3 linked regions of the Solanum lycopersicum genome follow. The main gene of each other region encodes a partner of the protein of the gene in region 2 in a complex. Links are inferred from orthologs where the notes say so. Each region holds a gene or a part of one and is shown on either strand. Other genes may lie near its edges.

Region 1 (4,074 bases), on a different chromosome or scaffold from region 2:
CAGTGGCGGATCAAGGATCTGAAGTTAGTAGGTGCTTCACTTTTTTTAACATTAAATTTTACTGTTCATTTAGTACAAGTGCAAATACTATTTAAACACAATAGTGAAAAACATTAACGCAAAAGTCATGTTTAATATTACTATCGGGAAAGAAGACTGAGTCAAATTATAATGTACTCGACGACTTTTCGCATTTTAAAATTAAAATGAGTAATAATAACATCTCTTACACTCGTGAATATCTTATGCTAAACATAGAAAATTAGACAGCTTAATAAGTATATAAAAATTACTTGTGGAGGATCAATCTCGTGACCTGCGGTACCACAGCTTCAGCACCCACTTACTAACCAACGAGTCACATCCAACAGTTATTTAACGGGTGCTTACTAATTAATTATATAGGTTGCATAGTATTTTTTATATACCTATATACATTTCACGTAGGGGTCCATGGGTGCTCGAGCACCGAAGCTCTATGTGGATCCGCACCTGCCTAGTGGTACTTTCCACAAGAAAGTACTATGGGAAACAAGACTAACAATTAACCACCAAGCATTATCAGCAACAAGCTTCGCTATTTTCCACACAGCACTGTTACTTTTGAGTTTCAAAGAAAAAGGAAGATTTCTTCCATAGTCTATCATTTGAATAATGTTTCTTACAAGTATATATCCTCAGGATAATAAACATGAGTTGTCCCACAACAAGCAAGTAGCAACAAACAGTTCTGAGTTCTGACATTTGACGTCAGTTAATATTAAATTGTTCCAATTTCTTGTCTTTTCTCAGCACCTTCCAAGCTTTTCAGCTGAGGTGCTGCAATGCACATAAAATAAGTACAGATGGCATCTTGTTTGCAGTCACTTGATCAGCAGATTTATTTTATCTCACTGCACTAGCAGAATGACCAATAAATGCAAGACTTCTAAAATGATATTAGTCATATGATAACAGTAAGGATCGTGCATATTGACATTCAGGTCATGGTCATAAGTTGCAAAACACAGACACAAGAGTTAAAATTACATACAAGCATCACACTGGTGCAATAAGGTAATATCTTCCTCAAACGAAACATCTCCCCTGTGCACCAAATACAATGTATTTAACTAAATGATAAATCATATATTTGATCCAAAAAAGGAAGTTGACTTCAGACTTTTAACCGTTATATCTTGTCAGTTGAGCAAATCTAAGCACTTACCATTAGAAGGCTAAGAGCTCGATTAATCTATTGAAGTATTATTGTTTCCCTTTTGTAGAGGGCCAAAAGGCTCACAAAAGGTGGTGAACTATTCCATTTTTGCTGCCATCTCATCTCCAAATAAAAAGAAAATGCACTTTTATGATAAGCTACTATCCATGATTCAAGATGACTATTCTTTTACTTCCCAAAGTAATTTCTAAAGTTTGTGAGCAAATATCACACAAAAACTCATTATGCTTGAGGCACCCAAGGGTGTGTCCCAGTGGTCAAGGAAAGGGGTTGAGAACCATGAGATCATGAGTTCATTTTCCATCAGCAGCAAAAACACTAGGTGATTTCTTCTTATTTGTTTAAGCCTTGGTTGACAGAGTTAACTGGTAATTGTGTTGGTGAAGGTAGAAGGTACCACATGGAATTAGTCAAGGTTCGAGCAAGTTTTTGAGTTCATATCTCAAAGTTTTTGAGTTTATAGCATTTGGTTTTTCCCTTGCATCAAGCAATAATTCAAATAGAATTCAAGAGAAAATAAGAAATAGATTTATTGGCATTTTGTGTTGATTAATGGGAAAATTTTCAGATAGCCACAGGACTAAAGACTCCATCTTTTGCTTCTCCCTCACTCCCTTCCTCTTGAAGACGAAGATTGATCGATCACGGAATCAAAACAAATTTTGTACTATTTCATTTGTCCGGCGTTGTTAGATAGAAGGAGCCATCAAGAACTAAGCATGCCTCTTTCAAATCACTGGGACTTCTCAAGTTTTCTACAGAGTACTACAGAAAAACAAAAACAATAATACTTGCCACTGAAGGTCTTAAGGAATAAGTGTAACCAGCAGAGCCATGAATAAGAGTTCACAAATCCCACTATATCACATTTCTTCCATTTTAGTACAAACAAAATCCAACCAAACACCTTCATCCTTAAGGCCATCATTAAAAAATGCATTTCCCTTCAATGTCCATTTCTAAATATACTAAACAAAACTAAAAACTGGCACACATAGAGCAGAACAGATACAAATGATTCACATTGTCTACATCAACTATTCTAAGATTTGAGGCATAACTCATTGAACTCCATCAAAATCTACACTGAAACATAAACTATATTCTAATTCAAATACTTAAAAGTGAGTCTCAGTATTCGTTAAAACGAAGCAGAAAATATCATTCAAATGATGAAAAAAAAGAAGGAAATGCAACCATAATTGAAGGAATAGACAAATGGAACAATACAAAACAAAATCAGACCTAAAATCTTCATGAATGAATGTAAACAGAGAGGAGTAAGAGGAAACTTACTGGTTGGAAGAAACCCTAGAAGTGGCGAAGTGGGATAAGAGAGAGATCCAAAAAACCCTAGAAAAGAGAGGGGAGAGAGACGTGGAGTTGGAGTAAAGATAAAGAGATAATTAAAACTAATTCAAATACAAGTTATGTGCAATCATGATAGTCGTGTGCTGCTGTCGTGAATTTTTGAGGAATTCGATTTGGAGGGAAAATGCCCCTTTTTTTAAGCCACAAAAAGGGCCAAAATTATTCTTTTAACTATTTGAAATAGGAGAATTAACTTGTGTGCACTATAGTGTAAAGTTTTTTATACTACACTCGTTAAATCTCATTTCTATTCTATTTCTTTTTAATATTTAAAAATATTCATCTGTTTAATTGTTTTCTCGCTCTCAAACTCTATAACAATCGTTCAACTTGGGATTTTTCTATTCATGGTTCTCTTTCCCCCTGAGCCGTTGAATTCCTCATCTAGAGTTTTATGATCTCTTTTATTAATCTGAAAATATCCACAAAAGGTCATCATTACCTATTGATATTTTGGGGAATTATTTTAAATTGCAGTAGATGTTTGTATTTGAATCTATTATTGATTCTTATGATGGTTTAATCTAATATTGTTATCTCCGATATCTTAGCAACCTCTTGGTATGTTCGATTAAGATTTTTTATTACTTTGTATAATCATAATTCACTAAAATGTTTTTTAAAATTAATTTTTTGATAGAAGATCATCTTATTAGTGTAGGCTAATGCCCGATTAGTACATGAAACAACAAATGACTTGGCCCAAAAAGTAGTACCCGGGTCCAAAAGGAAATAATATGTAGAGTTTCCAAAACTCTTCCATCAACTATCCTTTCACTTGACTTTCTTAAAACCCTACCCCATTTCCATCCTTTCTCCGCCGTTTCTAAGTTGTCTCCTTCATGGTTGACCAAGTAATCTTTGTGATTTTTGACGTGGTATCATTCCATCTAGCTCCTTGAATGCCTTTGAAGTTCTACCGCCCTCCTTGCTTACATGTAAGATTTTCGTCCTTATATCCTTCTTTTTCTTTCGTGTATGAGCTACTGATTCTCGTTCCCTTTCAGATCGAGGTGTAGTCCCAAGGGATCATAGGTGGGCTTCGTTTTTGCTCATATTTGACTCCGATTGTGCGCTTGATGTTCCGTTTATTCCTGGTGTCATTAACTCCCAACTCAAATAATTTGACCAACAAGCCCCCTTTATATTAAAGTTTCTTTTATAGCTAGAAACTCTATTTGTAGCTTTGTTTTGCTCAATTTTACTTCCCTCTAAGAAGCATACTTCATCTTGAAATATTTGTGCTTTATGCTTCCTCTTGTGTCTGATGTTTTTTAAATATGCATTCTGTTTACGTGACTATCTCCGTGATGTTTATTTATGTTATTTCCTTTATGTTCCTGCACTGCTTCCATTGAATGTTCATTTTGTGTGTTTTCACCTTCTAGTTGGTGTATGCGCCTTTTCTATATTTAGATATTTCCTTGTAATGCTTGGTAGCTCTTGAAAAAATTGATAGTTTTTTGTCTCCTGCGATTCTACTA
Region 2 (4,169 bases):
AGTTGGGTGGCGTTCATCCTGAATGGATGGCGGGACGTCATATGTAGCTATGCTCCTGTATTCATCATATTGCTTTGAAGTTAGCTTGTTGTTGTTGTCAATAGGAGTTAGTGCAAGTTTTGCATTTCCCAATCCAGTTTCAGCAATAAGTTCTAATGCATATTTTCTCTGATGCATCAGTATGCCTTTACTTGACCTTTCAAACCCAATCCCTAAGAAGAACTTGAGTTCACCTAGATCCTTCATTTTGAAGGTCTGGTTCAATTTGTCTTTAGTTTCTTCAATAAGCTGAACACTACTTCCTGTAATTAACATATCATCAACATATATAAGAACAAACACTGACCCTGTTGATGTTTGCTTGATGAAAAAGGAATGATCGTGTTCACTTTGCTTGAACAGAAACCTTAGTAATGCCTCAGACAATTTTGCATTCCACTGTCTGGTAGCTTGTTTCAATCCATAGAAGGAGACCCTCAAATCCTTGAGGTAGCTTCATGTAGATTTCGTCTCCCTGAAGAAATGCATTGAATACATCCATTTGATGTATCTGCCAGTATTGTTATGCAGCAATATCTGCCAGTATTGTTATGCAGCAATAGTTAAGACAGCAATAAATAAAGTTTTCATTTATATATACATGACAACATACTAGTACAAGTATACATAAGGCAACAAATACAAATATACATATCAACAAATTAATGAATGTCCTCTTTCAGTGATACAAGATACAAACACACATGACAACAAATCTGTACAATACATATGCAATTTGTCGTGAAATACAATATTGATACAAATGTATTACACTTGAACTAGATGCAACATTGATACAATTAGTATTCACTGATACAATTGTATTCACTGATAAATATACGTACTAGTTACACATGTACAATTATCACAACAGGTATATAAATACAATTCACCTCTCTCTCCTCTTTCGCTTGTCTCTCTCCCCCTATCCAAATCTTGCTCACCTCTCTCCTCCTTCTAGCAACTAGTTTTGGTACAGATTAATTATGTCAATTGTATACATGATACAATTATTAATCGGATATACAAATTGATTGTGCCTCCTTCCCACATCTCGCTCACCACTTTCTTCCTTCTCCCAATCTCACTTGTCCCTATTCTCTCTATAAAATGCATCCACGAATCATAATCAAGCAAACTATAGCTAAAAAAACCCCGATTTTGTTGTTAGTCTTTAGTTGTTTTTGAAATTTCCTCTTATAAAATTCCCCGGGGTTTTTCATGGGCCGGGTTTAATAGCAGACGAGGCACTCAATGGGCCGATATATCAGTTCCTTTATAGACGGCCCAGTTAAAACCTTTTCGGTAAAGCTGACAAGAGAACACGTGCCCTATCATGTGACCATCACGTGCATAGAAGATGATAAAAAAATAATACAAAAATAAACAGAATTTCAAGTGAATCAAAAAAATAAATCAATTTTGAGACTAATCACTCTGTAGAACTCGCGAATTTACGGCAAGGAAGGTATGTGACTGATGAACTTCTCTAATCTTTGCTTAGTAAATCTGATATTCATCTAATAGCTGATAATTGTTGAGTAAGTAGACAAATTCCTTATAGTTTCTTGATCCTGTAGTTTTTTTAATCGTTAAAATTGATCATTTCTTCGTTGTGTTTGATTTGTTTTACTAATTATTGAGATGGGTGTTGAAAAGTTTCATCTTTTAAGTGTTTGGGAGTTAAATTTTTCTGATTTGGATCAGGGGTTTTCTCAAATGATGCGAATCTTGAGTGGAAATGGTTTCCTTTTCTTTTCTTGGAATGATTGATTTTACGGTTTATTTGAATTAATTGTTGTAGTTGGGTGTGTTAATAGTACTGTAATGGATGAGAAGTCTTTAGTTTCCACTGTTTATAGCTGGGTATAAAAGTAACTAATATTTGGTGGATGTGAGGATAGTGTATTGGTGATAATTTTGAGTATTATGGAGTATGATTTGAGATATTTGTCAAGGAAGGACTGAATTGGTGGAAAATATCTTCAAACACATTTCCAAGAATCAAAGGTAATGCACAAGAAGAAATGGTTTCCCATATGTTGTGTTGTTGTATCTTCTTATCTCTTTCCCTTAGATAGTTATTGAAGTCGCACATTTGCTGTTAATTTTTTATCTATACTAGCTGCACATTCATGACTTGTTATATAACTTTTATGGGTAAGAATTGCTTTCGACTCCCATACCCAATCTACATAACTTATGAAAGCTGATCTCAGAAGCAATATAGTTTTACCTCCATGGAGCTTTTAGTATATGTGAACAATCACTTTTTAGCTGTAACTGTCGTGGGAAGCATCTGTACTCTCATATCCTTTAAACCTTATAGTTTCTTTCGGTTCTTCCGGTTTCAAAGAGGATATGTTTACCAGAGATTTATTTATTGCGTGTTCATCTGTGTTATAATGTGTCACGGCTCGTCCCTTAAAGCCATGAAGTGATGCGAACTAGGTGTATCACTTTATGCACTTCTGACGAGTGAGACTGGAAATCCCAATGAGAAGTAGTCAATTCTTTGAATCTTACTTTAAAATATGAGAAAATAGAAGAGGAAAATTGAGATTTGCTATTTGAATAGTAGGGTTCAGATCCATGTATGTTTCCACGTTCTCGTTATTGTTATTGTGCTCTTTTTTTCTTCTTCTCGAGTTTGTAAGGCCTATCCATCTTGTTTGTCATTTGTTAGTAATGTCTATCTATCCATTACTTATGCTCTTATAGTTCTTTGGTTTCTGTTCTTTCTTCTTCATTTTCTTCAAATAAATGACTCTTTTTCTTCTAGTATGCAAGTCCTTTATCTCTGATATCTTTTAATTCTGGGCTCTCTTTTGCCTATCTCCTCTATTATCATAGTACAATTACTAAAGTAACCAAATATGACATTGCATTCTGCAAATTAATTTACTTAATGGTTGATTAATTGTAAATGAGAATTTGTTTAACGATTGGAGTTATCTTTTGATGGGCTTGTAGAATTATATTTGAATGATTTTTCTGAGGAGTTGGATTAATATCATCATTACTGTATATTGGATGCTGATATCAGTAATAATAATTGCGATTTGATTGTTGTATGTACTAAAACCATCTGTTTTTACTTTTAGTATTTCTTTATTTTCGATAAACTGTGCACTTACTTCAAAGAAGCGTGTGTTTCACTTACTACCTTTTACCTCTGAGATTCCTGCACCTTCACATTTTTTTTCCTTAAAAATATTGGTATTGGTTTATTTTCAGGTTAAAAAACGGGTTAGACTAATGAATGCTGACACAGCGAATGGTGCAACTACTTCCACTGAAGGTGTTAACACCAATGAAGTGGAGGTAGAATCAAATACAGTAGACTCTCTAGAAGTTTTGTCATCCAGTGGTGGTAATGTCATGCATGAAGTAGGAAGAATCGGGGAGATTTTAACAAGGCTTGAACTAGACTTGGCGTGTATCTCTGAGAAACTAGTTAATTTGGATTTATTTGTGATGCATGTGGAAACAAGAGAAAGTGACTTTGAGGCTTTTGCCTCTGAGAAGGAGGGCACTTCAAATGACATTGTTGAGAAGGCAATAGAGTTTGATCTCTTATCTGGGGTCCTGGATTCAGAGGTGACAGAGCTAAGCGGTTTATTATCTTCTGTTGCAACGGAGATTGACAATGTGCGGAAGGTCATATCTTCACGTGGCTATGCGGATGAGGCTTTCATTTTGATAGAAGAGAAGTTATACGACAGTGAGAAATCCCTCAAGCAGTTGCAGGACCACCTATTGGAATTGAGGGCGCAATGTACCAACTTCCATGGAATTATGCTCACCTCCCAGGGGGACCGAGATTGTGAGTTTATTTTTATTTTATGTTAATTTTGAAGGGATGGTTTCTTTACAGCATCCTGCTATCATTAAAAAAAATTCTTTACATCCTGCGTAATGCTGAATAGCTTTTGGAGCTTCAGTTAAAGAAATCTTGGGTTATGCTGCTCAAAATCCAGTGTGGTCAGTCCATTCCAAAGCAATCAAAGATGGGCTTCGGCGGAACCAATGCAAAGTGAATAGATCAGTCGAACTAAGATTCTACTTAGATATTCATGCATCATGGGAGCACGTTTATTATCATATTTGCCGTCATTATTATCATTATT
Region 3 (4,102 bases), on a different chromosome or scaffold from region 2:
TACTGATGGAACTATATGTTAGAAGCACTTGCTGGAGGAACATAATATGGCCAGCTTAGCATAAAGAAAATGGTAAAACTAAAACTGCCACATGCAGAAAAATCGTCAAGTACTGGATTCTAATTGCTATCTGGTGCGTGTGCGTCAACACTTGCCTCTTGCTTGACGTCCAGGTTTTTCAGTTTTGATTCTAGTTCATCCTCAACGTCCTCATCTCCAGATTCTTTCTCCTCGTCACCCTCGTCTTCTCCTTCCGGGTCATTATCTTCCAGGGATGCAAGCATTTCAGGAGATTTCTTGAAGATCTCTTTCAACTCGTCAACGCCTTCTTCTGAGATGAAATTCCCATTAACATTTAGTAATTTAAACTCATCTTTCTGCAGCACAGTTTGAGCCAGCACCCTAGCCCCAGCCCTCCTTAGTGCATTGCTGCTCATATCAACTTCAGTCAGATGTTTGTGTCCTTCCAATGCCTTGGCAATCTGAATTACACCTTCATCCTTGAGTTCATTCTCACCCAAGCTTAACTTGGCAAGAAGCTGCTTTGCAGCTATACAAGAAGCTATTGCTGAAGCAGCTTCAGCAGTTATATCATTACCTGCCATCTCCAAGACAGCAAGTGAAGGGGCTGAATCTTTAAGAGCGTTAGCTATTGCAATTGCTCCTTCATCCTCTAAATTAAGGTAGCTCAGGTAAATTTCCTTAAGATTTTCATGTTGGCTGAGTGCCTTGCTCAACACAAGACCAACTTCTGGACCAAACATATTGTCTCGCAAATCAAGCTTCTTCAAATGGGAGCACATCCCAAGTGCTTCGCACAAGGCACTCCCTCCTTCAGAACCTACCCTGGTAGAAGAGCACCTGAAATCTTCCAATAAAGGAGAGCGCTTCACAATTTCCGCAATCGCAACAGCCCCTTCATCACCAGTCATATTATTATGAAAATGAAGAATTTTAAGCTTCTCGGTGGAAGGAACTAGCTCGCTAACAGCATTTGCAGCTTCCTGTGAAATCCCATCATTCATCAAAAATAATTCTTCCAAGTTGGTTTGAGACTGAAGGAGCTTTCCAAATGCCCTAACTCCCTTCTCACCAAGAGCATTATCAGAGAGATTCAGAAACTTCAAGTTAGAACCTTCTAGAGCTTCTGAGAATATATTCATGACATCAAGTGCTTCAGCCTCATTTCTTCCGGCAACAAAATCTGACAAATCAACTTCCTTCAACTGATCCTTCAAGGTTGCCAAGATAGGGCCTGCAATACGTGCTGCATCTATACCAAAGCTTCTATTGCTGAAACAAATTTTGCTGTAAGAGTTTCCAGGCTCTTTTAATGGCTTTAAAAGTTCTTGAGCCTCTTCCGCTTCAATAAAAGCCCTTTTACCTTTTGAGATATCAAAAAAGGTCTCCTGAACAGTAGGAACTACCTCAGAAATCGAAATTTCCTTGTCCTCTGATTTGGGAGTCTTTTTTAGAATTTCCAGGATAAGCTTGCTACATTCCCTGGCATAAAGTTGCACAGCAGAACTTCCATCACCATCAGGCTCCTTCTCATAATGTTGATTAGCAATGGTAAAAGCTGCATCTTCAATTTCTTCAGCATTTTTGGCAGCCTCTTCCTTGGATAGACTGCGGTACTTGCGGGTGAAAATGGTTGGACTAGAAAGATTATTCGTCATTCTTTCCACCAGCATTTTTCTTGTGTTCTCACTTGGAGGCCACAGTTTAATTGAAAACGGTCTGCGCTGAGAGTTATCTGTTGTGGCATCCATTGGCAGAAAACCTAGAGTGAAAGGAATATAGTGAATCGTGTCTTTAGTTTCTATAGAAAAATAAAGTGATTATCTTTCAAGAAATATAACCACTATAAGATTAAGCTCTGGCAGTTAAAAACATAACAACCAAAAAACAAAGTACCAGGCAAGAAACAATTCGTGCACACCTACAAGAAAAACTTAACATAAAGCGAATCAAATTTCAAGAGCTCAAATTCTTCGTCATAGAAATCAGATATAATTGTTTGACAACTCAATATTTTCGCCACAAAACACCAAGCAGGTGTCTAAAAGAACGGGAAAGTTTCTACAGTCATCCATCATCAAAAACGAGATTGAATTTTCTCTCATTTTATAACCACCTTGCAATGCACCATATTCATATCCAACAATGTAAAAAAAAACTCAAAAACCAAAAATGGTACATTCCCAGGTATATTCACATTTCACACTATAACACAAAAAAACTTTCTAGGATACAAAAAAAAATACCACACATTACCAAGGAATCATATGAGCAGAACAGAGCAACATATATACAATTTACAGAGCCGCTAAAAACACCAGAAACTTGTAATACAAAACAAAAATCCTTCTTTTTCCCCTACAAACAAAGAAATTTCACGAGAAAAATAAAAACTTTATACCTAACAGTGGGGGTTTGTAGAGTGTAGTCCTCCTCCCAGTAATTGCAACCTCTACTCTACCAACCCCAAAATAATAAACATAAAAAAACTACATAAAAGCAAAAACTAAAGCACATTAAACAAGAAAAAATACTAAAATCCAGCACAGATCTGTGAAATCACATGACCAAAAAAGTTGACTCATACAGAGCATAACCGCGAAAACCCTAAAAATCAAGAGAAAAAGAAAATTACTTTTGGGGATTTTTCTAATTACCGTTGGAGTGAGTGTGTTGTAACTCACCGGCAAACAACGAGAGAGAATGTGTGAGTTCGACGCGCCGCCGGAGAGAGTGGAAGTGAAGAAAATCTCAACTGAAAATGAAGTTAGCAATGTGTGCTGTGTGTTGTGTGGGAACAGTGTTTTTATATTCGACTATCTTGTACTCGAGAGATAACCTAATGTAAAAAAAATATATATATATTTTGAATAATAACTTTTTTTCTTAGTTTAAAATAAACAAATCATTCAAAATCAAAGAATTGTTGGATTTCTTTTTCAAAATATTTTTTATTTAATGAGAATAATTATTACAAAATTAAGCTCATAACAATATAGTTATAAATTGAAAATGGCAAGACATGAAGATAAAGGAGATAATTCTTTTTCTATTACGGTGTATTTTATAAGTATGAAATATTTATATTTATAGATTCAAAAAATCACTCATAAAATAATCTATATGTATAACAGGAAAGGTGATAGTGCTTTCGCGTAAGCGCCACAAAAAATAATATTTTTTTAAAAATAAAAGTTATAAATTGTATTTGAAAAAACTCGTGTATTGATAGTTAGTCATAATTATCAATCCATCAATATATATATATATATATATATATATATAGGTGATAGCGCGCCAAAAAAATAATATTTTTTTAAAATAAAAATTATAACATTGTTTTGAAAAAAAATAAGACATGTTTATTGGTAGTTAGTCGAGGGCTTTTAATCTTTATTTTGAAAAAAATAATTGTAATTTTACTTTTTAAAAATATTATTTTTATAGTACCTACGTGTCAACGCTACAAAAAATAAAATTACAAAATTGTATTTGAAAAAAAAAAACACGTATATTATTAGTTAGTCATATGGGGTTTAATTTTTATTTTGAAAAAAATAATGGTTATCCAACTAAAAAGTTTCAAAACTTCCTACTACACTTCTATTTCTACACAAATTGAAATTTTCTAAAATTAAAGTGCTACTCTTTTAACTTTTTCGTGTTTATATTGTCGAATTTAAAAGTGAGAATATAACAAATTTTGTTCACTATATTAATTTATATCTCTTATTATTATTAGATTTTTATCTATCATAAACATAGAAAGCAATAAATTATGTTCATCATAATATTACTTTAAACAATATCATAATTTTAAGCCATTTAGGCTTTAGCAAATTTAAACTATTCACGAGATTATATGATGTTAGTGAGCAATTTAATATGTTAAATATTAATATTAAAATGCTAATAAACTAACATCTAACAAGATTAAATTAAGTTAAAATTTGCAATATAACTATAATTACACGTAATACAATAACGTCTCATTTTCATGATTTCATCTATATATTTTCTTATACAATTAAAATTTAATATGTCCAACACATACATTGAGTAAATTTAATATAACGGTTGT

The links. Proteins that work in one complex are often made in the same cells at the same time.
Region 1: WPP domain-interacting tail-anchored protein 1 (region 2) and RAN GTPase-activating protein 1 share a complex: the UniProt entries of both Arabidopsis thaliana proteins name them as parts of the ran complex. The link is inferred for Solanum lycopersicum from reciprocal best matches to the Arabidopsis thaliana genes WIT1 and RANGAP1.
Region 3: WPP domain-interacting tail-anchored protein 1 (region 2) and RAN GTPase-activating protein 2 share a complex: the UniProt entries of both Arabidopsis thaliana proteins name them as parts of the ran complex. The link is inferred for Solanum lycopersicum from reciprocal best matches to the Arabidopsis thaliana genes WIT1 and RANGAP2.

Annotation. Positions count from the first base shown.
Region 1 is NC_090808.1:59,911,046-59,915,119, forward strand, and holds the start of RAN GTPase-activating protein 1, read right to left. Parts: upstream 2,801-4,074; 5' UTR 2,516-2,800; intron 1-2,515. UniProt on the Arabidopsis thaliana protein: GTPase activator for the nuclear Ras-related regulatory protein Ran, converting it to the putatively inactive GDP-bound state. Plays a role in spatial signaling during cell division.
Region 2 is NC_090801.1:52,973,153-52,977,321, reverse strand, and holds the start of WPP domain-interacting tail-anchored protein 1, read left to right. Parts: upstream 1-1,369; 5' UTR 1,370-1,507; intron 1,508-3,276; 5' UTR 3,277-3,297; coding exon 3,298-3,865; intron 3,866-4,169. UniProt on the Arabidopsis thaliana protein: Together with WIT2, required for the nuclear envelope docking of RANGAP proteins in root tips.
Region 3 is NC_090800.1:74,925,740-74,929,841, reverse strand, and holds the start of RAN GTPase-activating protein 2, read right to left. Parts: upstream 2,801-4,102; 5' UTR 2,706-2,800; exon of another isoform or gene 2,657-2,705; intron 1,784-2,656; 5' UTR 1,773-1,783; coding exon 120-1,772; 3' UTR 1-119. UniProt on the Arabidopsis thaliana protein: GTPase activator for the nuclear Ras-related regulatory protein Ran, converting it to the putatively inactive GDP-bound state.